4 linked regions of the Schizosaccharomyces pombe genome follow. The gene in region 1 interacts genetically with each later gene. Each region holds a gene or a part of one and is shown in the gene's direction. Other genes may lie near its edges.

Region 1 (7,308 bases):
ATCATAGTATTCTACTAATGTTTTTACCAAGGAAATTTTCCCCCTTAGTTTTCCATCAGCAAACAAAGAGGGAAGACTATTTAAAACCCTAATATTTTCCAGTTCATCAAAGGACACTGTGAATTGATTAGCAACATTTTCCCAAGGCTCAGAGAGATCCGCGTAATCTTTAAGAAGTAAAAGAATATCACGAAGCAAAGTAAAGGCTGGAGATTGAGGCCCAAGCTTTAAAATCGAAGAAGGCAAATCATTCACCAAATATTTTTGAAAAAGTTCCTTAACGGGTTTAATCAATGTAGTATCACTGAATATGTGACAAACAGTTATTAACTGGGATGCCGATAAACATGCAATACGTTCATTTTTGTGGGTAGACAATTTCATTAAAAATGACAAACAAGGTCCCAGAATCGACATGACTTCATTTCCAGTTTGAAAATTTCTATTTTTAAGATATAAAACTGTTTGAACGGTTAAGCTTAAGTTACGTGATAAAGAATCAAATGGGATAGTTTCAATGTCCATAGATTCATCATTAAAGAAACCAAATAACACTTCGTTCCAGAGCGAGGCGAAATCTGAATTTTTATCGAATACACTTTGCAAGCAATGATCGAAATCAGACGTTGAACAGCGTAGAACAAATTCACCTTTAAAATACCTGGTAAATATAGTCCTTAAACGGTCACGGACATGATCCTTAATTTGAGGATCGGAAGAATCGGTATAAACAAATGACAAGAAATTGAGTAAACAGTCATAAACTTCAGTAGATAGGAAACGTTGTTCTTGATTTGCAGTTTCTAAGAATGCATCACACAATTCGTCTACACTTTCAATGGAAGGAACGAGCTGCATAGCGCCTATACTTTTAAACAAATTCAGCAAGGATGTGTAAAACCCAGAATTAGGAAGGCTGATTCGCTTGGTGATCAAATTTGAGAACAACTTTGAAAGAGGACGTTTTGAATCATTTGCAAATTGGTGAACCTCGTTGGGGAAATTAGAAATCATGTTACTAAGAAGCCTAAGCATAGGGACGCAGGTCAAACTAGTTAGTCGTGAAATCATTCGTGAAACACGTTTAAAATATTTCTCTTTATATTGGGTAACAAAAGGTTTATCATACTTCAAGATAATGAGCAATAAATCGCTCAGGCTCACTGTGACACCATCCTGAGGTGAGGAAACCAAAGACCAAAATTCGTCAGACTTGAAAAGTGTAGACAAGTTCTCGTAAAGAGATGACTTAAAGGTTTGCTTATCTATCTTCTTATCTGTCTCTAGATTTTCTAAATCGGCAGTCTGTTTGAAAAGAAAAGAAAGGGTCAGAAGACAGCTAGATTTAACTCTGGTAACTTTCGATTCAGCTTCTTCATTTGAAAAAAAACGCAAATCCGTTAACGATTCTTTGTCTTCATGTAAAAAAACATCAGTGACTATAGGTGCGATAGTAGATCCAAACTTCAGCCAAACATGGGGCCACTTTTCTTCGGAGAGTAAATTTTTAAAAGAGTCTTTTGCTGATACAGAGACTGCACGATCTGAATCAAAAAAACCCATAACCCAAGGTGTGATATAGAATTTGAGCCATGGTGCAAGTTTTTTTTGAAGCGCAGAAGATAGAACAGACATGAAGACAAAGATTTTTAACCGCACATGTCGTTCCACTTCTATAGATAGTCGAGGAAATAAAACTGCCAAAGCATTTAGAAACTGTTCATTGTCAAACTGTGATGGGTCATTCCACTGAATTAAATCTTGTAAAGCTCGACATTTCGTTACGATGTCACGCTTTTGCAAATTCTTCACAATAACAATCATTTCTGCGTCTAAACCAGACAAGTCTGGAGGCTCATATATCGTACTAAAATTTGAGCTGGACTCATCCAACGCAATTTGCAAGGATGAAAACGATCCTGACATCGATTGCATCCCGGGATTTTTACGGCTATAAAGAGATTAGCATTTCGGCACATACATAAAGAAAAAAGAATCGTTGTATTTTTAAACAAACTTCCCCAAAATATGGAAAAGTATGGATTTGTAATAACATAGGTGTTCTGCATATATCCAATGAGAAAGACCCTATTTTGTGTGCAAACCCATTTTGTTACCATCTTCTCACATCTTTACTTACCCGTATAAATCCGTAGATTTTTTTTTCATCTTTTTTTTTAGTTTACAATGCAATGGAATGCAGCGGATCAATTTGGCACAAAGAATGAAAAATTACAAAGGAAATCAGATATCAGTCTGTCCGACGTTATCATAGGTTATTGATAACGTTGTTTTAAGCAATTCATTGTGGTATGCAATGCTTTATAAACTGATACTTTAAAGCTTAACTATTTGTGATGACGGAAAAGGAATTAAGTAGCTTGCTAAACTGTATATCATGTCAGCAATACTACACTACGCTATGATACACTACGTTGCGTATCACTATATGTCACATGTTCTAATTATATATCGTACCATGTATGATACGATATGGAGATTGATCTTAATGATAATCTATTAAGATCAATATTATCTGAATACTATAAATAGAGCTACTGCTGAACCTCGTTCCTCAGTTCAGTTATGAGCTATATTAGTGATAGGTAACATTATAACCCAGTTAATACAATACCTATACTCAGTTGCTACTTATACAACCTGTGTATTGTAATATAATAGATCACAAGGAAAACTCACCGCAGTTCTACGTATCCTTAAATCAGATACCAAACTGCGTAGCTTACATATCAGATTCTTTAATTGCAATCGCAAAACTTATTTAAAGTAACTTATCAAACGGTGTCATCTACAAAATACCTTATCTAATTTAAGGATGCAGTAAAAATACGATGATTTTTATTGCGATCTGTTCAATATTGCGTTAGTTACAGAAAACGTTGGAAACTTGGTTAGTATGATGTGACTATCCAGCAAAATTTAAAGATTTTACGCAAAAGGTTTATAGAACATAATTCACTGGTATCATAGGAATCAATTACAATTTGACAAACTGCAATTCTATAGAAGTCTTCAAACTAAGACATTGAATTATTAAGATATGCAACATGTGTAAGGTTGGCAACTAACGTAAATTATTTAGCATTGTTGCGTTAATGAAGTTTTACAGCAATCTCTAACGAGAATTTAGGTTTTACGCGCACGCCGTATGAAGGAGGTAGTACACTACGAAAAGAAGGACTCCCTTTCTACCGTGTCTTGTCTTGTAAAATTAGTGGAGATGATGCAAGTATAGTGCATAATGAATATTGCTCAAGAGGTTGCTGTTTTACAATATCTTGATATTCAGCAAGAAAATCCTAATGCTCCCAACGAAGAACTCTTCAATCGAACGGCAGAAAGCAGCCTGCTTTTAGAGCCAATTGAACAAGATCAATTAAAGGATCTGGTCGAGGAATGGATGCATGATAGCAATAAATCTGATTCAAAGCTTCTCTCCAACCAAGTTTCTCAAAACGATAATGATGCTCGAAAAAATCTACGAAAAAGGCTGCGGAACGATGTCCTAAAGGATTTGGCTGAAGAGATACAGGGATGTGAAAAAAAACTGGAAAGCTTATATGAAGAGGTTGCAAAGGCAAAGGCAAAAGCTGTGGAGGATCAACTCGCACTTGAAGAAGCTGACAAGGAAGCAAAAAAAGCGAAAACTGAAGCTCCTGTAGAGGCTGCTAATAAATCTCTTCGTTCTAGAAAGAAAACACCAGAGATTGCAGCTCCTGCAAATATCGAACCCGAAGTTGCACCCACAACTAAGACTCCAAAAAAGCGCGCTGCCCTGTCTAATGAAGAAAAGCAGTCTTTGAAAAAGTTCCAAAGTGCAATGCTTCCTATGCTCGACAATATTTCTAATCACAGGTTTGGAGCACCTTTTAGTCATCCTGTAAATCGTAAAGAGGCACCAGATTACGATTCTTTAGTTTATAAACCTCAAGACTTACGAACATTGAAGAATATGATCAAAGAGGGTAACATCACGGAAGTGGATGAATTGTATCGAGAAGTTCTTCGAATCTTTGCTAATTGTAAAATGTACAATGGCAGCGATCCAGCCAACGCCATGTCCATATGGGGAGATGAATGTTTTCGCTACACAGAAGAGCTTTTCGATATTTATCGTCAGGCAAGTACCCGTTCTCAATGAGTGTTTTACATTTTAATTATATTCCTTAACATTTTTTGTTTATGCTTTGGATTCATATCATTTTTTGGCTATAATTTTGACGACTTGGGGGTACATATTTTTTAAATGGTACTATATTTTATTTTTATCAAATTTATGTTTTTTTTTATATCATAACCGTGTATTTATTTCGTATAGATTCAAATCAAGTATGAGATAATTTACAATTTAGTTTTTTGTAACTATATAACAGCTGGTAAAAAGTTTCAACTTCCATACGTTCATATAAAAAAAAAATAAAATCTTCAATAGGTAAAATTAAGCGTTCTTCAATGTTGACTCCATTCTATAGTACTAAGATCGACACCCTCCTGAACCAAATCCCATAACGGGCTCATATTCCTTAAGAAAGAAACTTGTCTACTCACATTTTCAATAGCATAATCAATTTCGGCTTCAGTTGTAAATCGGCCAATACCAAAACGAATAGAACTGTGAGCATTTTCATCACTCTGACCAATTGCACGCAAAACGTAAGACGGTTCTAGAGATGCGGATGTGCAGGCAGAACCAGAAGACAGCGCGATATTTTTCAAACCCATAAGCAACGATTCCCCTTCTACATAATTGAAAGAAATGTTGACACAACCTGGATATCTAGATTTAGGGTCGCCATTCAAAGATGTATATGGGATTGCAAGAAGGCCATCTATTAATCTTTGGGATAGTTTGGAAATATGTGCATAATCATACTTCATTTCTTCTTTGCATATACGGGCCGCAGTACCAAATCCCACTACTTGAGATGGAGCAAGAGTACCACTTCGTAAACCTCGTTCCTGACCTCCACCACTAATAAGCGGCTCTAAACGTACACGAGGACGTCTTCTAACATAAGCGGCTCCAATTCCTTTAGGGCCGTAAATTTTGTGAGCAGAAATAGACATTAAATCAATGTTCATTCGATTGACGTCAATGTCAATTTTTCCATATCCTTGAGCAGCATCTGAGTGAAAGAAAACCTTCTTCTGTCGACAAATTTTGCCAATCTCTTCTAGTGGTTGACAAACACCAATTTCATTATTGACGGCCATTACACTTACACAAACAGTATCAGGACGTATGGCGTCACGTAATTCATCCAAATTAATAAGGCCATTAGTTTGAACAGGTAGAAAAGTAACTTCAAACCCTTCTTCTTGGAGAGCACGTAAGGAATCCAAAACGCATTTGTGCTCAGTTTGAACGGAAACAAGATGCTTTTTCCTACTTTTGTAAAATCGGGCAACACCTTTCAAAATAGCATTATTTGATTCAGTTGCGCCAGATGTAAAAATAATTTCTCTTGGATCAGCATTGATTACAGATGCTATCTCTTGGCGTGCATTTTCAACAGCTTTTTCTGCTTCCCAGCCATAGGCGTGTGTTCGACTATGTGGGTTTCCATAAATTCCAGTGAAGAAGGGAAGCATACTATCTAGTACACGATAGTCGAGAGGAGAGGTAGCTTGAAAATCCATATATATAGGATGCAATCCCGTAACCGTACTAGCAGCGGTTTGTGCTTGATCCAAAGTTACTGTTTTCAAAGAATTTTCCGGTATGGGCTCTTGAACCGCCGTCATGTTTCCTAGCCCGTACATTTGTTCACGAGGTTTATTGCTCATTGAAGGTTTGTCCATACGACTGGAAGTCATAAACGACCTACCGTAAACTCCAAGACTCTGTCTAACATTATTAATATCCTGACTCTCTCGCTTGACAAAAAATAAAGCACTTCGTAGTTCAAGAAGGCATCTTGCTCTAGAAAGCATCAAACTTCCCATTTTGGACATGGTTGTTTCCAAAATAGAGGAAATTTTGCTAATTCTTTATTTATTTCCTAAACAACAAGAAACAAGTCCTTTTTAAAATAATTTGGCAGTTGCTAAGTTCAAATTTTGCGATCTGACTAATAAAAATTTTGGTTGGCGGCGTATCTGAAACCAACCAAAACTAAGCTTCGACCCAATACATGTAGAGCTGCGCAATTATCAGTATGTTATCATTGCATCGTAAACGACGGAGACACTGTTCAATCGAATAAAAACTGTAATAAAGAGCATAGAGACGAGCAAATTAAAATCAAATGTTTGCCTTATATTTACTATGTTTTCACCTCATCTAGATAAAAATAAAAATAAAAATAACGAGACGTTGCGTAGTATACTGTATTTGCGATTCGGCACAATTACAGGAAACGATCAGCATTGCTGCGAAGTATGCTACGTGAATACGGAGAAGGATGGTTAAGGGAATTTGAAAGGGTCAGACATACCAACTACCAGAATTACTTGATGAGCTGGAAAGGGTTTACAAAGGCACTTGCGCGTACGCCGCAGACTCTACGCAGCAAGTTTAATGTTGGAGAGATTACCAAAGATCCTATTTATGAGGATGCTGGAAGACGGTTTAAGTCTTTAGAAACGGAAGCGAAAAAGCTGGCTGAAGACGCCAAAAAGTATACTGATGCTATTAATGGGTTATTGAATCATCAAATTGGATTTGCCGATGCTTGTATTGAAATTTACAAGCCTATTAGTGGGCGTGCTTCGGATCCTGAATCGTATGAGCAAGAAGGCAATGCGGAAGGTATTGAGGCTGCCGAGGCTTACAAGGAAATTGTATACGATCTCCAAAAGAATTTGGCTTCTGAAATGGATGTTATCAACACTCGCATTGTCAATCCAACTGGTGAACTGCTCAAGATTGTTAAGGATGTAGATAAGCTTTTGTTGAAACGCGATCATAAGCAGCTGGATTATGATCGTCATCGTTCATCTTTCAAGAAACTTCAGGAAAAGAAGGATAAAAGCCTTAAAGATGAGAAGAAGCTTTATGAAGCTGAAACCGCCTTTGAACAATCTTCCCAAGAATATGAATATTATAATGAAATGCTGAAGGAGGAGTTACCTAAACTATTTGCATTGGCTCAGAGCTTCATTGCTCCCTTATTCCAAGGATTTTACTATATGCAATTAAATGTCTATTACGTTCTTTATGAAAAGATGAGTCACTGCGAAATTCAGTACTTTGATTTCAATACCGATATTTTGGAATCGTACGAAAGAAGACGCGGCGATGTTAAAGATCGCGCAGAGGCTTTGACGATTACTAAATTTAAGACC
Region 2 (7,616 bases), 1.2 Mb from region 1:
TCGATTTTTAGGAAAATACTGATTAGTTCAATATTTGAAAATGCTTGTTACTTAACGAACTGACCGTATGGATAATAACGACCAAATATCAAACCTTTGTCTAGGGGCTTTACAACTGCTTGCCGATCAACCTATTTCGGTTATCTCGAATGAACCATCTGAAGAACAGCGGAATGAGCACGTCCTGAAAAAATGGGAAAATAACGTTTTAAGACATTGGAAAATTCTTTTTTCTCTTTTTATGCAAACTTGTGGTGATAGTGTACAAGGAAATGCTGCCTTCTCAATCCTCAATTTCATGACTACTAATAGTTTAGTGGGACAACTATATCAGCGACTATATGATGAGTCTAATTCATTGGGCTTTATAAGTAGCCCTTTGAACGAGACAGAACATTTGTCGGAAGAAAATTTAAAAATCGAAAGCAGTATTACCTTCACTAGTGAAGAAATTGAGAAGGAAAAAGAAAATATTAAATCTGTATTACTTCCTTCAGTGCAATCTATTTCTTCTTCTTTAGAATTGTATGCGTCTAAAGAATCTGATTATAGAAGCTCAATTGAAGGTGTATTAGCTGACTTGAAGTTAGCGCGTGCCCGTTGGGAAATCGTTAGAAACGTGACACAAATACTTTTGCTCGAATCCGGCATTAGTTTCCTAGAGAACAAAAAACTTGCATATATCATGGATCTATGTGGTGATCGTGAAGACAATTATAGTTCCTATTAAAAGTCTTTATTTTGTTTGTGAACGAAAAATTTGGTATGTTTTTATGAATGTTATAAGCCCAGTGATGCTTTTTTGAATTTCTTCAACGGAGCCGTTTGTCTTATTGACATGCGATGTGGGACGATATTTGACATACTGAGGGCCAATCATTCATTTTTCTGACTTCATAATTTTTCTTACTAACCTTTAGAGTAAATGAATTCTTTATTATGAATATTTTTAATAAAAGCTCCTTTTTTACTCTTTGTAAAAATTTTAGAAACTAGAATACATAAAATTTTATTTAAAGGTACTCTAACAACAATAACGGATGTAAAGGAGAAAATTGGCGAAACCGTAAAAATAATAGATTTCTCTACAAAATGAAGTAGGGTTGGGCGTTATCGGTAAACTGAATCAAGCGGACAAACCACCGTTGTTTTTTTAAAAAAGGAAGGCTTATAATAGTCGGAGGTTTTTGGAATGAGACAATATAGAGGCGCTGATGTCAATTGTGAACATCATCAAAGGTATACTAATATATAGTAAATAGATTGTGAACAATCAAAAATTTTGCGAGCTCAGTAATTCTTTCTCCACAGTCGCAAGAAAACTGGCATCTGCTAATGTATAAAAAGTCAAGAGTCAATAGTATATACAAATCAGTTATAATTTAAAAACCGTATGGACAACAGACACTTAATTATTTTGCTTTTTAGAAGTAGTCACTTCTTTTGAACGACCGTCAAAAGCACCACGGTTACCTTTGCGAAAATTCCTTTTCATTCCATTATAATTATCGTTGGACTTCTTATCTCCCGATTTGTTGAATTTACCGGAAAAAAGACGGCGTCGTTCTTCTATGTTCAGCGTGGCATTGTTAATTTGCAAAGTTTTTTTGTTCAAAGCCAATTGCACGCATTCATGGTTGACAAAATCAACATATGCGGTGCCTTTGCGACGAGCAAACTCAATAGCCTTGACTGGTCCAAAAATGCTCATAGCAGATTTCAATGACACATCAGATGTTTCGGGAGGAATGTTCTTGACGAATACAGATGTCTCCAACAGTTCATTACTCTGAGTGTACGGCGCTGTTGGCTGCTGAGTTTGGTCAGCATTAACACCTTTAACTGTTTGACCAGTTGTAGACGCAGTAGAACTAACTGATGCTTGGGATTTCACATCAGGATGATTACGAGCTATGAGATCAGCCCAAGATTTAGGTGCTGTAGCAACATTTGCATCGCTAGCCCCTATAGCATCAGCATTCTTCGAGTTTGAAGTCAGAGCTTCATCTTGAAGCTGATTTTCCTGCTGAGAAACAAAACTTGGGACTGAGGCTTCCGTAACTTGGATAACGGGTTCTTCAGGAACAGCCAAAGTAGCTTGATTTAGACTGTCGGTCTCATTTGATATAAGAGCGGCTGTGGCAAAATTATTTTCTGTAGCAGCTGGATCCTGGTAATGGCCTTCTTCTTTTGCAGAAGGTAAATGTTCTTGAGATTGCACGCCATTTACGTAAGGTTCAGAAGCAACATCTTTTTTCTCTTTTTCAACAGCATCAGGTGACTCCTCTTCTTCCTCAACATCTTCACGCAAAAAACGGAAAATATCGTTTAAAACAAAATAACCATTTGGTTGTTCTGCAAGGAAAAATGTTTGAGCAAATTTTCTGGATAATTTCCCCTTATTAGACATTTCACCCAGGACCTGGATGACAATGCCACCATTCGAAGAAGCCAAACTGTCAACGTTTGAAATAAGTACTTTGCAATTTTGAAAGTCCAAGTCCAATATCTTGTTATGAATTTCCTAACACGTTAATAAAATGACTATTGGGCAAGACAACGATCATAGAGTTTCGAAAATCGCAAGCAGAATATCACAACCTCAAAAACTTTACATATAAGAATTGTGTTAAAGCATACCTGTTGTCCATGACAAAGACTAATACTCTCGCCTTCGTCTCCGTGAATTAAAGTTGACTTTTTAGTATAGAAACACTGTATTACAGTTAGTACGGTTCACAAGTTGAAGAAAAAAAAACTTTTGGTAAATTATGACGACCTACATGAAGACGATTGGGTTCTTTATTTAAATATGTATAATATTCTTGAACGAACATCCATCCTATCTCATCCTTTCCCAAAACTGGTTCTAATAATGTGGCATTTTCCGCAGTCATGTTTTATTTAACTGTGACAATAGCTATACAAAGAACAGAAAATCTGGCTCTAAAAGACCCAAAACAAAATTCGGTCGTGTCTTATGTTTTCCGTGCGTTGGTCTTTTTAATGTCCCATCTCCTTGCTTTCAATGTCCGTGATTACAGCATTTCGTAATTGGATTTAACGAGACTAAACGATATTTCTGTTGATCTTTTACATTCAACTTGTTCGCATAAGTAAGTTAGTTGATGGAAAGAGAGACCTTTTGGTCAGAAAATTGTTTGGTTTTTCATTTCAACAAATAACATAAACATCATATGATTTACCATAGATCAAAGTTGCATATATTTCTTTCTATTATTGTTTTGCAAATTGATTATATTAGAAACGTTAATTCATTGGAAACCACTAAACATTTTGAATAGTAATACGACTATATACTGTGCTAGAGAGATTAACCTGCTAATGATTTTGCCAAAAGTCAATTAGTTTAACAGCTTTAAATGCAATCGTCTAGAAAAATTATGATACTAAAAAGAAAGTATGCGAGCCTTTAAATCATTTAATTAACGAAAATTGAAATTACTTTCTTCTTCTTATTTACCAGCATTAAAGGGTTAAAATCTAGTGCTATAATTGCAACGTATCTTACTTTAAATAAATTATTTATTGATAAATTTTGTAAGACTCAGGAAAGTACCTATCCTATCCATTTTGTTCACTGCCATTTTGGTGGCATTAAGAAGTTTCACTCGCATTGCCAGTTATCCTCCTCCTACACCAATTCAGGTCAAAAAAGTTTCAAATCCTTTAATAGTCTTCGTTTTATAGTATTAAAATCCAAAACTTGTCTGTTAAGGTATAAACTTCTGATAAAGACATTTTGTTGCATTACTTATTCGAAAATTGAAAATTTGTCAAATACTAGAATGGCAAGATTGACTGCCCCAAGCAAAGGTCCTTCATTTTCAAATTTAAACAAACCAAATGATTTGTTGAAAGCGGAAATTGAAGATAATGAAGCCTCACACTACTCTCAAAATCAATCATCTGACAGTGATTCTGATGAAGCACCTGAAGAAGTTTCGCTGAAGAGCAGCAGCGATGAGGTAAAAAAGAGACTTCAACGTCTGAAAGGGAATGAATTACAGTAAGTTTTAATAAACGGAATGAGGGAAACACTTAAAAATACTATTTGTTTTGGTTTGAGACAGAATAATAATTTGTTTGATAAAAGTTCGACTGCTCATTTCGTTTCCTTGCTTTTGATAGTATTATTTTTAACACATTTTAGGCTTCGAAAAGCTGAAAGAGAAAAACGTAGACTGCAAAATGAAAGAAATCGTGAAAGAAATGCCCAACGGGTAAGCGCATCAAAGTTGGATTTGGCTATTCTTGAGGCAGCTGAAGTTGAAGAAATTAATAGTACCACGGAAATCGAAGAAAAGGTTGACGAAGCAAGCCTTGACCTATATACTCCAAAAGGACATAAAATTGTTTTTCCTAATAACGAAATTCCTAAAAAACGTACTCGTTCATTTCGTAAAGGTGATTTTAAAGTGAGCGTTCTTAAAGAAACAAATGACCCTTTACTAGCGCCGAACTATGAAAAGAAACTGTCACAGCGTAAACGGGATTGGATAAATCGACAATCAGTTCCCCGGGCGTCTAAAAGACGACGTCCCTTGACTTATTAATTTTCCTTTCTCTATTTGGCAACACATTCGCTGTAAATTGAAAGTCAGGCACAAGCATTGCATTTTCTGTTAATATAAGGGTTTACTTTTTTGTTTATTAATAATATTGGTTGGGAAAAGGTTGTCTGGGTTCTAAAACATTCATTATTTGAAGCTTTGGACATGCTAAGTGCAGTTTACGGCTGTTTTTTTGGTAAATGTTTAACATAGTATTTTTAAAAATAAACACTTTAGACAAACATGAGTTAATTAAAGTTGTATCAAGGATTTATTGCCATGCACTAGAGGAAATTCGCTCATGTAACGTTTCGTACATCATAGATATTATAGATATCAGTAGCTATAGCTCATAAGGCCAAAATTTGCATAAATATATTATTAATTGTCTAGTGTATGAACATTTACTACTTATAATTATAAAATATTTGCATATAAATTTCTGAGATGGTTTGTACTTTCGACTACTTGCACTAGGCAAACTTCGCTTTTTAGCACCACAAAAATTTTGTCACTTCAAAGCATTGTTGACCTTCACCTCTGCAGCCATGTCGGCCCAGGATGTCGAAAACGCAGTAGAAGCAGCATTAGATCCTTCTGTAGGACCAATAATAAAGCAACAAGCTACAGATTTTATTGGTAGCCTTAGAAGCTCATCTACAGGTTGGAAAATATGCCATGAAATTTTTAGTGAAAAAACGAAATATAAACCATCAACAAGACTGATTTGCCTTCAAACTCTTAGTGAGAAAGTTAGAGAATGGAACAATGAAAGCAATTTGTTAGAGTTACAGATGATAAGAGACAGTGTTTGGTCTTATATTAAGGAATTAAGCTTTTTGGATGAACCAGCTTATATTAGTAATGCTGTACAACATTTATTGACATTATTGTTTCTTCAACTATATCCAAGCAACTGGAATGATTTTTTTGCTTCACTCCAAGGCGTTATTGCGGCGTCGTCTCAATCTGAGTTTTCAAATTTTTATTTGAAGGTTTTACTTTCCATCGGCGATGAGATTGCTGATTCATTGGTTTTAAAGACAGATGTTCAAATTCAAAAAGATAATTTAGTAAAAGATGCAATTAGGGCAAATGATATGTCTGATATCGTTTCATTCGTCTATGAAATGATGTTGGCCTATAGTAATGCTAAAAACTATGGCACGGTTGGATTGTGCCTTCAAGTATATGCACAGTGGGTATCTTGGATCAATATAAATTTGATAGTTAATGAACCGTGTATGAACTTGTTATACTCTTTCCTTCAAATTGAAGAATTACGTTGCGCTGCATGCGAGACAATGACCGAAATTGTGAATAAGAAAATGAAGCCACTTGAGAAACTTAATCTGCTCAATATTCTTAACCTGAATTTGTTCTTTTCAAAGTCGCAGGAACAATCCACTGATCCTAACTTCGACGAACATGTCGCCAAGTTAATAAATGCACAGGGTGTTGAACTTGTCGCTATAAAATCCGATCCTTCAGAACTTAGTCCAGAGTTGAAAGAAAATTGCTCATTTCAGCTCTACAATCTTTTTCCATACCTTATCAGATATCTTTCTGATGATTATGATGAAACCTCGACAGCAGTTTTCCCCTTTTTGTCCGACTTACTTGTCTCACTTAGGAAAGAATCTTCTTCCAAAGAACTTAGTGCTTCTTTAAAAGAATTTCTTAAATCTCTGCTAGAAGCTATTATAAAGAAAATGAAATATGATGAATCACAGGAGTGGGATGACGATCCTGATAGCGAGGAAGAGGCCGAATTCCAAGAAATGCGTAAAAAATTAAAGATTTTTCAAGATACCATTAACTCTATTGATTCTAGTCTATTTTCTTCGTACATGTATTCTGCTATAACTTCTAGTTTATCTACTGCTGCTACATTATCTCCTGAAAATTCATGGCAGCTTATTGAGTTTGCGCTATATGAAACCTATATTTTTGGTGAAGGATTGCGGGGTCCCGATGCATTTTTTAATGAAGTTGATAAATCTCCGACTGTTCTTTCTCAAATACTAGCATTAGTTACCACTTCACAAGTTTGCCGACATCCTCATCCGTTAGTTCAGCTTCTGTACATGGAAATATTAGTACGATACGCTAGTTTCTTCGATTACGAATCTGCGGCTATTCCCGCTTTAATAGAATACTTTGTTGGGCCCAGAGGAATACATAACACAAATGAACGTGTTCGTCCAAGAGCATGGTATCTGTTTTATCGATTTGTTAAAAGCATTAAGAAACAAGTTGTAAATTATACTGAATCATCTCTCGCCATGCTTGGTGATCTATTAAATATAAGTGTTTCTCCCGTTACTGATATGGATGCGCCAGTACCGACATTAAATTCCTCCATAAGAAATAGTGATTTTAACTCTCAGCTCTATTTATTTGAGACTGTTGGTGTCTTAATTTCTTCAGGTAACTTAACTCCAGAAGAACAAGCTCTTTACTGTGATTCACTTATAAATGCACTTATCGGAAAAGCAAATGCTGCTCTTTCCAGTGATTTGTCGGCTTTAGAGAACATTATTTCCGTTTATTGTTCGCTGATGGCTATCGGTAATTTTGCTAAAGGATTTCCTGCCCGTGGTTCTGAGGAAGTCGCTTGGCTTGCTAGTTTCAATAAGGCATCAGATGAGATATTTTTGATTTTAGACAGAATGGGATTTAATGAAGATATCCGTGGAGCTGTACGCTTTACTTCTGGGAGAATTATTAATGTTGTAGGACCTGATATGTTACCAAAGGTTCCACAATTAATTTCCATACTCTTAAACTCTATCGATATGAATGAACTGGTTGATGTTCTTTCATTCATTAGCCAACTTATACATATATACAAAGATAACATGATGGAGATTACAAATCGTATGCTTCCAACATTACTAATGCGTATTTTTTCTTCTCTATCGGCCGCTCCACAAGGAACAGATGATGCTGTCAAGCAAAACGATTTACGAAAATCATATATTTCATTTATACTACAACTATTAAACAAGGGGTTTGGATCAATCCTCTTTACTGAAGAAA
Region 3 (8,289 bases), 1.5 Mb from region 1:
CTTGCTAATTTATCTAAAGTTATGTTTTAGGCCATGAGGCTATGAAACAAATGAGTCAGTCGAATGTCTTAATCATTGGCTGCAAAGGTTTAGGCGTTGAAATAGCAAAGAACGTTTGTCTAGCAGGTGTAAAAAGCGTTACTCTTTACGATCCTCAACCTACACGCATTGAGGACTTATCATCACAATATTTTCTTACAGAAGACGATATTGGTGTTCCTCGTGCAAAAGTAACGGTATCAAAGTTAGCAGAGCTTAATCAATATGTGCCTGTTTCTGTAGTTGATGAACTTTCAACAGAGTATCTAAAAAACTTCAAATGCGTGGTTGTCACAGAAACTTCTCTTACGAAACAGCTAGAAATTAACGACTTTACACACAAAAACCATATTGCTTATATTGCTGCTGACAGCCGTGGTCTTTTTGGATCGATATTTTGTGATTTTGGTGAGAACTTTATTTGTACTGACACTGATGGAAATGAACCTTTAACTGGAATGATCGCTTCAATTACTGATGATGGAGTTGTTACCATGCTTGAAGAAACTCGTCATGGATTGGAGAATGGTGATTTTGTTAAATTTACCGAAGTGAAGGGTATGCCTGGTTTAAATGATGGCACTCCTCGTAAAGTTGAAGTGAAAGGTCCATATACCTTTTCTATCGGATCTGTTAAAGATTTAGGAAGTGCCGGTTACAATGGTGTCTTTACCCAAGTTAAAGTTCCAACCAAAATATCTTTCAAATCTCTCCGCGAATCGCTCAAGGACCCTGAATATGTATATCCTGACTTTGGTAAAATGATGAGACCTCCACAATACCACATTGCTTTCCAGGCCCTTTCAGCATTTGCCGATGCGCATGAAGGTTCATTGCCTCGACCCCGTAACGACATTGATGCAGCTGAATTTTTCGAATTTTGTAAGAAAATTGCAAGCACACTTCAATTTGATGTTGAACTCGATGAAAAACTAATTAAGGAAATTTCATACCAGGCAAGAGGTGATTTGGTTGCAATGTCCGCGTTTTTGGGCGGTGCTGTAGCACAGGAAGTGTTGAAAGCTACCACCAGTAAATTTTACCCATTGAAGCAATACTTCTATTTTGACTCCTTAGAAAGCTTGCCATCTTCTGTAACGATCAGTGAAGAAACTTGTAAACCTCGTGGCTGTCGATACGATGGGCAAATCGCTGTTTTCGGTTCGGAATTTCAAGAGAAAATAGCTTCTTTGAGTACGTTTTTGGTTGGTGCTGGCGCTATTGGATGTGAAATGCTGAAAAACTGGGCTATGATGGGTGTCGCTACTGGTGAAAGTGGTCATATTTCTGTTACTGATATGGACTCCATTGAAAAATCGAATTTGAATCGTCAATTTCTCTTTCGTCCTCGTGACGTCGGAAAGCTGAAGTCCGAATGTGCTTCTACCGCTGTTTCAATCATGAATCCTTCATTGACTGGTAAAATAACTTCATATCAAGAACGTGTTGGACCAGAAAGCGAAGGCATATTTGGCGATGAATTCTTTGAAAAGTTATCTTTAGTCACGAATGCTTTGGATAACGTCGAAGCTCGAATGTATGTTGACCGCCGTTGTGTATTTTTCGAAAAGCCATTATTAGAGTCTGGTACTTTGGGTACTAAGGGTAATACGCAAGTTGTTGTACCTCATCTTACAGAGTCGTACGGATCATCCCAAGACCCTCCTGAAAAGTCATTTCCTATCTGTACTTTGAAGAACTTTCCTAACCGTATTGAGCACACCATTGCATGGGCTCGCGATCTCTTTGAAGGCTTGTTTAAACAGCCTATCGATAACGTTAATATGTACCTTAGTTCTCCTAACTTTTTGGAAACTTCATTGAAAACGAGTAGTAACCCCCGTGAAGTTTTAGAAAATATTAGAGATTATCTTGTTACGGAGAAGCCTCTTTCATTTGAGGAATGTATTATGTGGGCCCGTTTGCAGTTTGATAAGTTCTTTAACAACAACATTCAGCAATTACTTTTCAATTTCCCTAAGGATTCTGTAACCTCCACTGGCCAACCGTTTTGGTCTGGTCCTAAGCGTGCCCCTACTCCATTATCTTTTGATATTCACAACCGTGAGCATTTTGACTTCATAGTTGCAGCAGCCAGTCTTTATGCATTCAACTACGGCCTTAAGAGTGAGACAGACCCAGCTATTTACGAACGCGTTCTTGCTGGCTACAATCCTCCTCCCTTTGCTCCCAAGTCTGGTATTAAAATTCAAGTCAATGAAAATGAAGAAGCTCCCGAAACCGCTGCTAATAAAGATAAACAAGAACTGAAATCGATTGCTGACAGTCTACCACCTCCATCCTCTCTTGTGGGTTTTAGACTAACTCCGGCAGAATTTGAAAAGGACGATGACTCTAATCATCACATTGACTTTATAACGGCTGCATCAAATTTGCGTGCCATGAATTACGACATCACACCTGCGGATAGGTTTAAGACGAAGTTTGTTGCCGGTAAAATTGTACCAGCCATGTGTACATCAACTGCTGTCGTTTCAGGACTTGTATGTCTTGAGCTTGTTAAACTTGTTGATGGCAAAAAGAAGATCGAGGAATATAAAAATGGATTTTTCAACCTTGCTATAGGGCTCTTTACATTTTCTGATCCTATTGCTTCTCCGAAAATGAAAGTCAATGGTAAAGAAATCGACAAAATCTGGGATCGCTACAATCTCCCGGACTGCACACTTCAAGAGCTTATTGATTATTTCCAAAAAGAAGAGGGGTTGGAAGTGACCATGCTTTCATCTGGAGTTTCTCTTTTGTATGCTAATTTCCAACCACCTAAGAAACTTGCTGAAAGGTTGCCTCTCAAAATTTCTGAATTGGTTGAGCAAATTACTAAGAAAAAACTAGAACCTTTCCGGAAACACTTGGTGCTTGAAATTTGCTGTGATGATGCCAACGGTGAAGACGTTGAAGTTCCATTTATTTGTATCAAGTTGTAATACCTTTGAGAACCGGTTAATTCCTGGAATTTGCAACATTTAATGCCAATGGCTCTAATAAATTTACTAAATTAGTATTAGCAGTCTTTAAAAAACATTAATAGGCATGTATGAATAATTTATTATTTTTCCTATACTCTTTCTAATTTTTATGAACTAAGATCTGTTATATTTTAAAAAGTATTTTGACATGTAGTAAAATTGTTGTTTTTTTGAGCAATTTTTTTAACGTCGGCGATTGGCATTTACGTAAGTTTCGACTGCTAACCTCCTAATTTACCTAAGAGTATATCTTTACTCGGCTACAAAAGTCTATCGTATACATTATATTAAATTTAACTAGAATTATTGCCAATGTCTACTGCCTCAAAACTTTGTATCGTCGGGGCCGGTGTCTTTAGTGTTTACATGGTTTATTTCGTACATAATAATCAGATTATTGAACGAGAGGTAATATTTACTTATATTAAAGAAAATATGCACCATAGCTAATGTAAGTATAGAAAATGTCGGCGGGAGTTCAAAAAGATGATGAAAGGAAAAGAATTAAAAAAGAAAGGTTTGAAGACCTAAAGCGACAACAAGAGTTACGAAAATTTTACGAAAGCCAGCTACCTGTTGAAGAGGACGAAAAGGGTCTCCGACAGACAACGCAAACAACAGTGAACGACTAAAACCAAGTTTTTAACACAGATTGGACGAATCGAAATTATAGACAGCTTGAAACCTATAGCCTCGGACTTCCAGTGTTCAGCCAATTTATCCAGAGCAACTTATTTACCTTTACTATACATTAATATTTTTTTCATCTTTGCCAGATTTTAAGGATTTAATATTGAGAAATTCAGCTCGGTTAAATAAAAAAGAAGTAACTACATCTAGAAAACGGCATAACAGGGTGTGTTAATCTTAGAGGGTTATAGGCAAAAGAGCTAGTTTTTTGTTAACATTACTCAAAAAGGAAATATAAATCAATTTACATTATGCTATATATTAATGAAATTTACTTTATCCGGTTATTAGTAATATAAACTTGTCATAGTTTACTGGTTATTCGTTATAATGGTTACTACCATCGTAACGAGGTAAGTATGCCGAAGTGTCTTGAGATTCCTTAATGTGCGAATGAAGTGAATGGTGAAGGTAGTTTATGTCTGACAAATTCTAATACATTTCACTAGCTTGTTGAAAGATTTCAAAACTGAGTAAATTTGACCACCACTTAATGGAAATTTTTCTATTCTTTTTATTTTATATAAGCACGTTCATTTTCTAACCTGTTATTTTTCTACTTCATGAAATGAGTTCATCTTCCTCAAAACCCGTGAATACTGGGTTGGTTACACCTCGCCGCTATTCTACAATGACTGGCATACGGACTGGTCCATCTCAGAGTGGAACAGGGAGTATTCCATATTCCCCAACGTCACCATTGTCCCGAAATTTTTCGAACTATTCCATACCTATGCTACGAAGCAATAGCACTCAAACAAATGTAAATGGGCCTACAGCATTTGATTTGGGAGTTACAGAGAAATTGATGTCTCCTGGAACTTTAGATAGATACACGCGTCCTGCCTTGTATCCGTCGAAGGACTTGGATTATTTAAAAAATGAGTATGTTAATTATGAATCTACAACAAGTCAACAAACCAATTCTAAAGGTTTAAAAGAGAGCAACTTTGTTGGTTCAGGAATTATCACAAGTATACGTATTCGACCTATTGGTAAAAACCAAGGTGTATGGTCACATGGCAAGTTAAGCAATGACCCATATGGTCGTGAATACATTCGCCAGCAAACAAGTACAAGCTCGTCCACAATTCAGCAAGAATATCTTTTTAATAATGTTTTTGGGATGGAATCTAAAAATTACGATATATACAAACGTTCTGTTAAGTCGGTTGTCCGTAATGTTTTTTCCGGATATAATGGAATAGTGTTTGCTTATGGAATGACCGGCACAGGAAAAACATATTCTATGCAAGGTACGGAAAACGAACCTGGTATTATTCCACTTGCCATGAATGATTTATTTGAAATGGTTGAAAACAATTCTGATGACGATACCTTTCAAATCCGTATATCCTATTTAGAAATTTATAATGAGAGAATACGAGACTTAATCGGAAACTCGGACGAAGAGCCAAGAATACGCGAAAATGCATCTGGAGAAGTCAATGTTACACCATTAACTCGAGTTCTCGTCACTAGCCCCGAAGAGGTTAGTCAGGTTATTGAACAGTGCAATGCAATCCGAAAAACAGCAGCAACCGATTTCAATACGTATAGTTCTCGTTCGCATGCAATTCTTCAGGTTTTTCTTATTCGAAATAATCCTACTGCTCACACTTCACAAATTTCGAGTCTCAGCTTGGTGGATCTCGCTGGAAGTGAAAGAGCTTCAGCTCACCATGAAAGACGCAAAGAAGGAGCATTTATCAACAAATCTCTTTTAACATTAGGAACTGTTATTTCTAGGTTGTCAGCAGCTGCAAATCCTTCACTTACCTCAAATTCAGGACATATACCGTATCGTGAGTCTAAGTTAACTCGTCTGTTGCAGCAATCTTTATCCGGCCAATCACAAATATCACTTTTAGCAACGATAAGCATAGAATCCAACCATACGATGGAGACTACTAACACGCTTAAATTTGCATCTAGAGCTCAAAATTTGCCTCAAGATATTCGCCAAGCGGAAGCTGTGACTAATGTTCAAGCTGAATTAGCATCTTTACACTCTGCCCTTGAAAAGAATGCCCAAGAAGTTGAATATTATGCTTCTTTGGTGAAGCAATTGACTTCGGACTTAGAGGAACGAGATACATACATTGCCATGTTAGAGGCAGAGCGTTCGCAAGGAACTGCTATAAGTAGAGCTCGTTTACGAATGGAGGAATTGCTTTCTGACCATAATTTCGAAATTGCAGATCTAAGAGATGAATTACAAGATAAAGAACAAATTATTTATGCTCTTCGATATGCTCAGAAGCAACGGGATATTGCCGATTTCAATCAATCGCTTGCTAAATTCCCTCACAAAATCTTAAAGAAAAATGTTACTAGGGGAAGCAGAAGCTCCTCTGATCAGTTCAGTAATGAAACTAAAACTGAAATTTTGCCAGACGATCAACAGCAATCGAAAAAGGATTCTGTGACTCAGGAAACGCAACTTCTTTCTTGATACCTTGTTTAATTATAGGCGTCTTCTCATCAACCTTGTTTACAATTTTATACCCATTCAACCTGTATGTCTCCTTAAATTACTTTAACGATACGATGTTTCTTTACTAAACAGGCCGGTTCGCAGTTGCATCTCTTTCTTTTGCATAATATTTTGGAATTTTCGGGGATTTTTTCCAATAATTTGTAATGACACATTGTAATAAATCCTTAATTTGCATAGGTTGGCTTCTCTATGCAAAATTTTATTAAATTTGCGACGACCTGCTACAATCATATACTACGTTTGGAATTTTTATCCTCTATACCGTTAACACATCCTTATGGACATTGCAACAAATTTTATAACCAGGAGCCTTTCTGAAATTGCTCCTAATGCATCTCAAAGTTCTCTTCATGTAACACCGTCATCGGTGAGCAACAATGCGTTTGGGCTAAAGCTTCGACAGCTGATCAGTGACACATATTGTCCGCACATATTTATTATGGCATCTGATGACACAGAAAATTTCATGAAGCGTAAAGGATTTGACGATTTTGCATCTTTTATTCGACCGTTCGGAGATCGCATTTTTCAGAGCTCGACAAACAATTCTGCCATTTCAAAGGAAACTTTGGATTCTAGGATTTTTGATAATGATCATGACTCAATTCGCTTTGTTCCTATGGAAGCAGTACAAGTTCCTCGGCAGTGGAAGCGAAATAAAGCCTGGAATACCGAAAACGGATTAGAAAATTGCGCAAATTCTAGATTTGCTCCTGGCGGTGACATTGATAGTTTCAGAGTCTTGAGTCAGAAGCTCATAGAAGAGTGGGTTCAATCGGGCAGCAATAATTACCCCGAAAATGGATTTTTAAATCCCATTCTGGATTATCTCAAACTTCTACTTTCTGGTAACCCGGTAGCTGAACATGAAACTTTTTCTCATCCTGTGGGTTGTCTAATTGTTATAACGTCTCATAATACCAATCCTATGGCAACTGTTATGCGTTTATTCAAAGAAATTAACAATGCGCCCTTTCCTAATTTTATTTCTAAAGAAATTTTACATTACTATTTGTTTATACATGATGAAGATAACAACGATCTTTCAAATTCGAAGCAAATTTTTCAGCAAATGCGGAGAAGTCTTGGCGCAAACTCTCATTTTATTAGATTAAGGTCGAATTACATATCAGCGAAACCTTTAGATACTGACAGATATGATACGTCTTCTATACAGTCATTAAAAAATGCACCTAGAGATTCGATGGAAAGCGAAAGCTTTTGTTCATCTAGTGATGATGCCAAACCGATAACATTTGTGACTAAAAATTTAAGAAAATTTCCAATTCCAGAATGGAGATCATCATTAGAAGTTCAGGCCGAATCCGAACAATCGTGTTTGCCTCTTTATCCTTTACTGCCTGTAGAAGAAGTGGAAGGGATGAAAAAGTTTGTTCAAACAATGTTGTATGATAGTATATATCCTTTTATGCAAAGATGCGTACGGGCCTGGGAAGAAGATCTGACCCCTCAATACGGTAATTTAACTACCAGGCTTCTATTTGCCTCCAAAAAATACTGGTCTCGTAATCATTCAAGCCATTCTCAAGGTAACTATGATCCACTATCCCTTATTTATTCTTCAGAAAAGCAGGAAAGCATAAAAAGAAAAATGGCGGATTTTTCTTTTATGCTTCGTGATTACAAACGTGCTTATGAAATTTATGATGAGATTCGGAATACATTTTCTCAAGACAAAGCCTGGAATTATTTAGCGTCTTGCGAGGAAATCCAAATAATATGTCTGTTAATGCAAAATCGGAATATCAGCTTGAAGTCGCAAATTTCGTATTTGAACAAATGGTTCGACGAAATGGTTTATATCTATGCTGTTCGTCTTCACTCTTTTTACTATACATTTAGAAGTGTGCTAGTTACAAGCTTGTTGCTCTCGTTGAAGCCTGCGTTTAGTATCGACTTTGCAGCATCCTGGCTTGCAAAGATATTGGAACCAGGCCCTATTTCCCTCAATCCGTTTGAAACTTCTTTCTTAAATACGACAATAGCTGGAATGTATAGTAATAAGGAACATGTTGGTGTTACTGATGGAAATCGCCGCAGAAAAGCTGC
Region 4 (7,518 bases), on another chromosome or scaffold:
GGAAGGCTTGGATCTGTTTGGGATGAACGCTTTTCACTCTGGGTTTCGTTGGTAATAGTGGCAGCGGTGACGGCGGAAAATTTGGAGGAGGACGTTTCAGTACTAAGGCATGATTCACGCTTCGAAAGTTCAGTAGAAGTAGATAAGAAATCAGTTGGAGGTATCTCTAAAGAAAGTCTGAACTTGCTTTCGTATTCATTGTTAGAATCAACGACTGGATTCTGCAGATAAGCACATGATGTAAATGCAGGATGATTACTAGGCGTAATTGAAGCATAGTCAGAGTTATTTTCGTGCTCAAGTATGTTATGATGACTGTAAATGGGATACACTAAAGCATCTAGTGCATGTTCACTCTCGCTAGATAAACTGGAGGATGGAGACATTATGTAGTTATTAACATCGTCTGCATCATCGGCATCGTCTTCAGTAGTATCATTGTAAAGATCTAAAACATCATCTAATTCATAATCTGAAGGTGTTTTATCCTGTTCACTACTTCCAAAGTGGATTGATGCATCTGACAGGTGAGCATTCTCCTCTTTAAAATTTGCATCATTCATAATCGTCGAATGTTCAGTGATGCCAGCCATTTTGAAATTCTCTTCTTATGTCGAGAATTCCCTGACTATCACACATGCGACGCTGGTGCTTCGGGCTTCTGGCTTTCTTTCAAAAAATCTCTTAGTTCTTCAACAATGCTTTCTTCATAAAAATTCCTTTCCAGTACCATTACTACCCAGCTGGGAGATTTTTGAGTAATTGAATGAATAATTGCCTTTCAATAACCAGATTTCTTATGCTCCACTTTCTATATGACTAAAATGCGTGGTTGGTAAACGCCAAGAATATATGCATAGTACGCGCTTTTGCAACAAAGCGTGGTGGTGTTAAATGGGCCTACCATGATACCATAATATCGAGGTTACCGAGGTACTTAGCAACACTCATGATAAGATTCCTTCTAAACTATATTTACTACATCTTTTTCGTAAAAAATGCTAAAAAGTATTAATATTATATGAATATATCTAATTTTTTAATAAAATTTACGACTTAGCTATTTTTAAGCAACTTGGATATTACCGTGTAATGAAAATTTTTATTTTTATTTTTATTTTATTTTATTAAGTCGTTGTTCCTTCAAACAAAAAATTTGTAGTACGATTGGCAAGGTAATGCAATTGGGTGATCTATAAAGCGAAAAATAGAGTGTGATCCACCAATATGAAAAATAGTGCTATAAAAATCTGGGGTTTTTTAAATCAATAAAATATTAGATAATTTGGTAGTTTGCTTCCTCTTTTTCCTTTAAATAAATAAAATACTTCACAAATAACCAAATGTCAATTTTGCAAAACAATAAATAAATAAATGAGTCTAACGTTTGGAATTAAGTATCCTCATTGTTCAAAAAACACACATCCGGTTATACAAACCCTAAAGTGTCCGACGAAAGCCAGGAATTAAGCATATTGTTCTTCAATACGCTTTCGAATACGAAGTGCATTTAGCAAGTGTTTCCACTGCCCATAAATAATTTTTCTCTCTTTCATCTGCTGCTTCTCTATTCTGATTTTTTCACACTCAAGAAATTCTTCGTAAACCATTTGAGCCGACTCTTCAGGTACAATTATACCTGTAGTAACTGGAATCGCACGATGTTTACGAAATTCAAACCCTGTAACTGCATCCGCATAATCAATGTTGAGTTTCTTGGCAATTTTAGCAATTCCTCGATATGGCAAATGTGCTGCGCCCTTGGGGATCATGCTCTCAACAAAACAATCCATATTACCATAACCGTTCTTAGGAATAATACCATCTTTGATTGGAGGCGGAACATATAGCTCAGTTTGATCGGAAGAATATAGACCCTGAAGCACTGGTTCATTTGTTTCAGCAACCCGAAATTCGTGTTCACGCTTCCTGCTAATTGTGACGGCTCTCGCCTTCACCATTTTTCGAGGTTGTTCTCCTTCCTTAATTACTCGTCCTTCTTTGTGATAATTTTCAGGCGTTTTGCATATGACCACATCTTTTCGGAGATACACTTCCTCAGAGGTAGCTTTCTTACCGTTACCAAAGGTTGCTGTCTTCACAGGCTTGGCGTTAGGAAGCAATGCTTCTTCTCTTCTAAGATGTCTAATCAATACAAATTCAGGATGATTCTTAAAATCTGCAAAGCTTTTAGGTTCGCGAATGGGCACTTTACTTTCCAGTTCTTTCTCTTCATATATATCCTCTGCATCTTTATTGCGCTTTGCTAGTTGCCCAAAAATAGCCTTATAAAAATCAAAATACTTATCTGCAAAAGAAACGTGTCGAATTTTCTTAAGCCTACTTGATTGGTAATCTGTATACCTCAAAGTTACATCTTTTGCGTATAAATCGTTATCATATGCAGCAACAATACCCATTCGTAGATGTTTTGACTCTGCATACGCTCCTTTGGGTTCAAACCAAGTCATATCGTTGGTATATACCCCATTCAAGACAACCGCATCTACCGCAATCCATTTCTTCTCACTTTGATCATAGATTTCCGTCCAAAAAATAGGATAGCGGAGGTCGTCATCTATAGATGTACTAGTTTCTTCAGGGAGGATATGTGGAGACCAATCATCATAGGAAGCAGTAGAAAATGTCAAAGGTTGAAGAGAAAATATAAGTCTTGCTTTCAGATTCAGAGATCGACAGAGAGCAGTAAATCCCTGTGCCGCCAAATCCCGGCTTCCTTTTAGCGAAAGTAAGGATGCTTGGTATTCATGAAAGTTATGAAATATTTCTGGCGAAAAGCCGATATCAAATCCTTGTTTCAAAGTACGATACCCCAACTTCCGAAGCCCATGACTCTCAATTTTAAAAGATTTATTCCACCACATCCGAAGCCCATTTAACAATTTTAACAAATCCTCGTGCGTCTGGCTACTACAAACCCACGCCTCCACTACGGACGGTTGCTTTTCGACAAGCAAATCGCGCAGCCCATCAAGAAGTAAGGAATTCATTAACCAGCGATTCCTTACTGACCCATGGTACAACAAGCAAGTAAAGTGCATAATGTGAATAGATAATCGAATGCTTTTATCCATTGCACTAGAAGAGCCTTTCTTCGATTCTTTTGTAAGTTGAGGAGTGATATGCTGTGTGACTATGTGTAAATCTTTTTTATCTTCTTGTTTATTAGGAGAAAGATCAACTTGTTCCCAAGTGTCAAAATCGTCGTCAAACTCGTCATCTTCTGAGCTGCCTAACTTCTCATTGTCTTCATCGGAACCTTTTTCGGATGAAGATGCGCTCCTTTGAAGTGAGTTTAACGCTGATATATTGTCATCTAAACTCTCAGAAGGAGGTTCCGCTGAGGAAGACAAACTTGGCTTTTTCGACTGGCTACGAGTTTGACGGTGAGTTGAAGATACAACAGTTTCCTCTTTCACTTCAGGATTAAGAGGTAAGTTATTGGTCCGTGTCCTACGTTTCCTTCCGCGAACAGAGTTCTTGGATGCTTTGCGTTTGGGTGGCATTGAGCAAAGAGTTTATGTGAATTGAATCAACTTTAGGATAATGCTTGTTTAACCGCTGGTTCAAATAATATCAATAACGATAAATTGAATAAAAAGTTGTAATCACAGCCACATCTGATATATTCTTAGTTAAAGAATTATTATTTCAAGCAATCTCTCCAACAAGAAAGCAAAATTCTAACAATGGCTGTGATGATGATTATTAAAAAGTCCTTTGAAAAAGAGGTCAGTATCAACTGCGCAAGAATGGCGAGTAGTTTGTTTGCTGAATATTATGAGCTATATTAACTACTTTTGATTTCAACCGTGAAATAAAGATTTAAAAAATTTAAATCTGAAACATAACATGAAAATAAATTATTAAATAAAAAGTTAAACCACATGCATCACTATTAATAAGAGACAATAAACATAAGTCAAAAAAAACTTCAGCCGTTAAATTTTAAGGAAATAATTCATTAATTAGTAAAACGTCAAACGAAACTGTTTAAATTTATGTCACTGATCGAGCTTATATTTCCTAAAAATAGGAATTTTAAATCGACGACTGATTTTGCACAGCAGTAGTAGTGGTAAAGTTGAAACCATCAATAACACCAATACTTAGGAACATCAACCTGCGAAAGCAAATTCTTTTTTTTTTCTTTTTTATTGCACACTTGTTTACGTACCGGATTTAAAAAGTTATCTTAATAAAAAACTTTTTATCCTTCATTGTTGCAATTGAAGTCGATAATAGCAAGCTCGACCTAGCTAATTAAAAAGCCTTTGCTACTCTAATTAATACGTAAGGTTTGAATCCTGAAACGGAGAAGTGCCCTAATTTCGTTCATTAGTATACGAATATCGGAATTTACCTTTCAGGTCCATGGTTTGTTTCATTTCTAATTCGGCGTTGTTTTATACTCAAAAAGTACACCTGAATTTCAAAACATTGCTTAAAAATCTTTTCAATGGGAAAGTTAATCCGTCGTACATCGCTGACTTCTAAAATAATCAATCTTCCGATCGATTACTTTATCTATGTTTGCGAACAATTTGACAGTGTAGAGTGGGATAAAGTATCAGATCGTTATTCGATTCCCTTTAGCTTGGCTGTCAATTTTATTTTTCTCTTAATGCGCATTTATATAAAAAGTACGCATGTACCAGTTCAACGCAACCAGCTCTTTGTGGATAAGCAGTCCATCAACACCTCTAGGTCCTGGTTTCGTGCCTTCCTATCATTTCTCTCAATTTGTTTTCTTTTCATCAGCTTTCTCAATTTCATATTTAGCACTCGATTTCAAAATAAGCTGTATAGAACTTTGCCTCAAGACAAACGCACGACGACTTCTACTCCCAATGTAAAACCAGTTTTCCAGCACTCAAATAATGATGATGGCGATGAACAAGTTTTTGAATTGAAAGTATGGAGCCCAAATCAATTTTTACTAAATTTTGCTTGCTTATTTTCTCCTGCTCATGCCTTGATTTTATGGTTTTATAGCACTTCTCTACGCGTGACTTTGTTGACTTTTCTCCTTTCGTTTACAACATTGCATTTTGTCAATAAATTTTCCTTACTGCTGAAAGATCAACAATATCTTCATCGCCAGGTATTCTTTGAGTATGATAAGAAATTTGTAGAACCTCGACTTTCGGTAGTTAAACGAGATGTTGCCATTAATACTACTCGTGGTCCCACAACCGCATCTATTGAATATTTCACACCCCGAAAACCCATAGATACCTTCCTTGAACACCGAAGTTCTTCACATGATCATCTCACTTCAACACCCCGTACCCCTATAGCGCTTCAAAGAAGAAGTGTTCATCATCTTCATGACAGCGGAATTAGTCGTGACAGCAGCTCACCATTTAAGAGATTTCCACATCTTAGTGATGGTAGTTCTCGCTTTTAATATTTGTCTGAATTACATGGTTTTTGAATGACCCACTGCATTTCCATTTATCATTGTTGTTTCTGTTAATTCCTATTTTCGAAAAGTTTTAAGTCATAACTCAATTCAGACCTGAAATAATTGTATTCATGAAGACTAATTAGGGTATCAAACACCGTCATTCTAAAAACTTTCGATGATCGACTTAGAACCAAATCCTTATAATTTAAGCTTATTCAATATGATCTCTTATTAAAATCCTTACATGATTATAAATATGAATACTCTTGTTTGTTAGAAAATATATTTAAAAGTGATAATGTGCATCAATTTTGTATCTAAACTAATATGTAAAAATCGAAGCAAAATTTCTAAAAGGAAAATAAATTATATTAAACGTGCAAACCGATTAACTAAAATGATTTTTAGAAAAAACTCAGCTTTGTAAAAAAGGCAATTGTTATTTCTAACAAAAGACGCACAACAAAACAATTCGTTTCCGTGCAGCAAGTAGAAAATTACAAAAATTTTATCAATAAGGTCATAAATGAGAAAAATGAGAAAGTCCCAAAGAGATAGTTGAACAAGGTCAAGCAGTTTTAGGTTATAGCAGCCATAAAAATGGGAAGAGCTATTATGTAGATTTCATTCACAAGCAAATAGTGCGAACAATTATTCAACAAATTTGACGGATGAAGGAAAATAAATGAGAGTGAACAAACATAGAATAAGGCCAGCTTTAATTTCAAGTCAAAATTAATTTTCCTCTTCAGCTTGTGTCGTAACCCCATGAGCCCGACATAACGGGCAGGAATTATTACCAGTGGTAAGCCACTGATCGATGCAGGCCTGATGGAAAAAATGTTTACAAGCCTGCAACTTGCGACATATGTCACCGTTAGTATAAGTTTCTAAACATATTAGACAAGAATCAGCACTAGAAAGTGAAGCATCATCGAAATATGCAAAAAGTCCGCCCGATCGTTTCACATCTTCATGAGAAGCGACTGGTTTCTTCGCTGGACCCAGGTATGTAGTAAGAGCCAACAAGTCTTCATACATGGGATTATCGCTAAACAAGCTAACTGTAGACAAAACTGGATGATGTTCTGGAAACAGACCACCAAACACATAGATAAGCCAATCACCATGGGTGCTATTAGAGAAAGTTCCCTCTGAATGCGTTTGAGTAACCATGTCGGCAGCCCCATTGGAAGCCAACGTACTAAAGTCGCTAGTATTATCATCAACAGAAAGTTGTTCCTCAAATCTATAGCTCCGTGCTAAGCTAGAACGTCTAGTTTGATTAGACAGTAAATCTCGATCAGACGGAAAATGATGGAGTCCTGTAGATAACCTTCCAGGCTGTGTGGAAAATGAGGAGGTATTATCGGTAGTCGGCTGATGAGTTTGTGACATCGAGAAATTGCCGGAGGCGTTCCTCGAAAAAACATTTGATTCAGAAGGCACTGTTGAAAACGGTCGTTGTGAATTGGAATTTGAACTATCCAATAATGAAGAAATGTAATCATCTCCAATGTGATTTTCTCCAGTTGAACCATTTACAGGTTCTTGAGCTCTTCTTAGTATACTTGAATTCCTTAAATCCACGGAAACAGTAGGTTGATTGTAGCGCGAAAACGAAGAAGTAGATTGATTACCCGAGTTGGACGTTGGAAACAAATTTCTGGAACCAGGAAAAAGATTTGCAGGGAAATCGGATACCGGCGTAAAAGCCTGGCTAAAGTCACTTCTTGTAGGTTCAGGATGTGAAAAAGTTGAATTGCTTCTCTCGAATGTAGGAGGAAGATCAGTGGAAAATTCAGTGGACTGAGCCATTCTTTCGGTTATATCGTTAATGGATATGTTTTCTCTACTCTCGTTATGAAGGCTTTGATTTTCTTGAGTCATAGTTGGCGCATGATCCTCGGAAGTCTCGGAAATGCTACGCATACAAACGATAAGGACAGGCACCAAAGCCGGTCCATTTGTATCTGAAGCTTCGTTATTAGAGGCAGGTTGATTGTGAGACTGATGAAACGACGGAAAACGGAACATCCTTAAGTATTGAAGGTCTGAGGAATTAGACTCAGGGTCAGAAGAAATTT

The links.
Region 2: mutations in bdc1 (region 1) and utp16 together harm fitness more than expected from each alone (negative genetic interaction), as found in Schizosaccharomyces pombe (2 studies listed by BioGRID).
Region 3: mutations in bdc1 (region 1) and tea2 together harm fitness more than expected from each alone (negative genetic interaction), as found in Schizosaccharomyces pombe (2 studies listed by BioGRID).
Region 4: mutations in bdc1 (region 1) and nur1 together harm fitness more than expected from each alone (negative genetic interaction), as found in Schizosaccharomyces pombe (2 studies listed by BioGRID).

What each region holds. Positions count from the first base shown.
Region 1 is NC_003423.3:2,421,428-2,428,735, reverse strand, and holds bdc1 (bromodomain-containing protein 1), read left to right. Parts: upstream 1-3,211; 5' UTR 3,212-3,262; coding exon 3,263-4,162; 3' UTR 4,163-4,321; downstream 4,322-7,308. Other genes in the region: rkr1 (ubiquitin-protein ligase E3), read right to left, coding at 1-1,951, 2,141-2,169; cysteine desulfurase Nfs1, read right to left, coding at 4,471-5,976; BAR adaptor protein Hob1, read left to right, coding at 6,478-7,308.
Region 2 is NC_003423.3:3,647,588-3,655,203, reverse strand, and holds utp16 (U3 snoRNP-associated protein Utp16), read left to right. Parts: upstream 1-3,383; coding exon 3,384-3,421; intron 3,422-3,466; exon of another isoform or gene 3,467-3,487; coding exon 3,488-4,030; exon of another isoform or gene 4,031-4,174; coding exon 4,175-4,577; 3' UTR 4,578-4,843; downstream 4,844-7,616. Other genes in the region: CENP-H-like protein Fta3, read left to right, coding at 68-730; ubiquitin protease cofactor Nxt3, read right to left, coding at 1,409-2,524, 2,641-2,715, 2,784-2,897; karyopherin exportin-T Los1, read left to right, coding at 5,123-7,616. UniProt on the Schizosaccharomyces pombe protein: Functions as part of the small subunit (SSU) processome, first precursor of the small eukaryotic ribosomal subunit that coordinates the first two steps of ribosome biogenesis in transcription of the primary transcript pre-RNA and pre-18S processing.
Region 3 is NC_003423.3:3,888,914-3,897,202, forward strand, and holds tea2 (kinesin family plus-end directed microtubule motor Tea2), read left to right. Parts: upstream 1-4,143; 5' UTR 4,144-4,287; coding exon 4,288-6,174; 3' UTR 6,175-6,343; downstream 6,344-8,289. Other genes in the region: uba1 (ubiquitin-activating enzyme E1), read left to right, coding at 20-2,987; Pet117 cytochrome c oxidase assemby protein, read left to right, coding at 3,342-3,437, 3,491-3,661; trs8501 (TRAPP complex subunit Trs85), read left to right, coding at 6,497-8,289. UniProt on the Schizosaccharomyces pombe protein: Promotes microtubule growth, possibly through interactions with the microtubule end, and is important for establishing and maintaining polarized growth along the long axis of the cell.
Region 4 is NC_003421.2:448,378-455,895, reverse strand, and holds nur1 (protein nur1), read left to right. Parts: upstream 1-4,132; 5' UTR 4,133-4,480; coding exon 4,481-5,431; 3' UTR 5,432-5,687; downstream 5,688-7,518. Other genes in the region: GTPase-activating protein Gyp3, read right to left, coding at 1-593; DNA repair protein Rhp42, read right to left, coding at 1,467-3,527; SPOM_SPCC4G3.12C (ubiquitin-protein ligase E3), read right to left, coding at 6,167-7,518. UniProt on the Schizosaccharomyces pombe protein: Has a role in meiosis.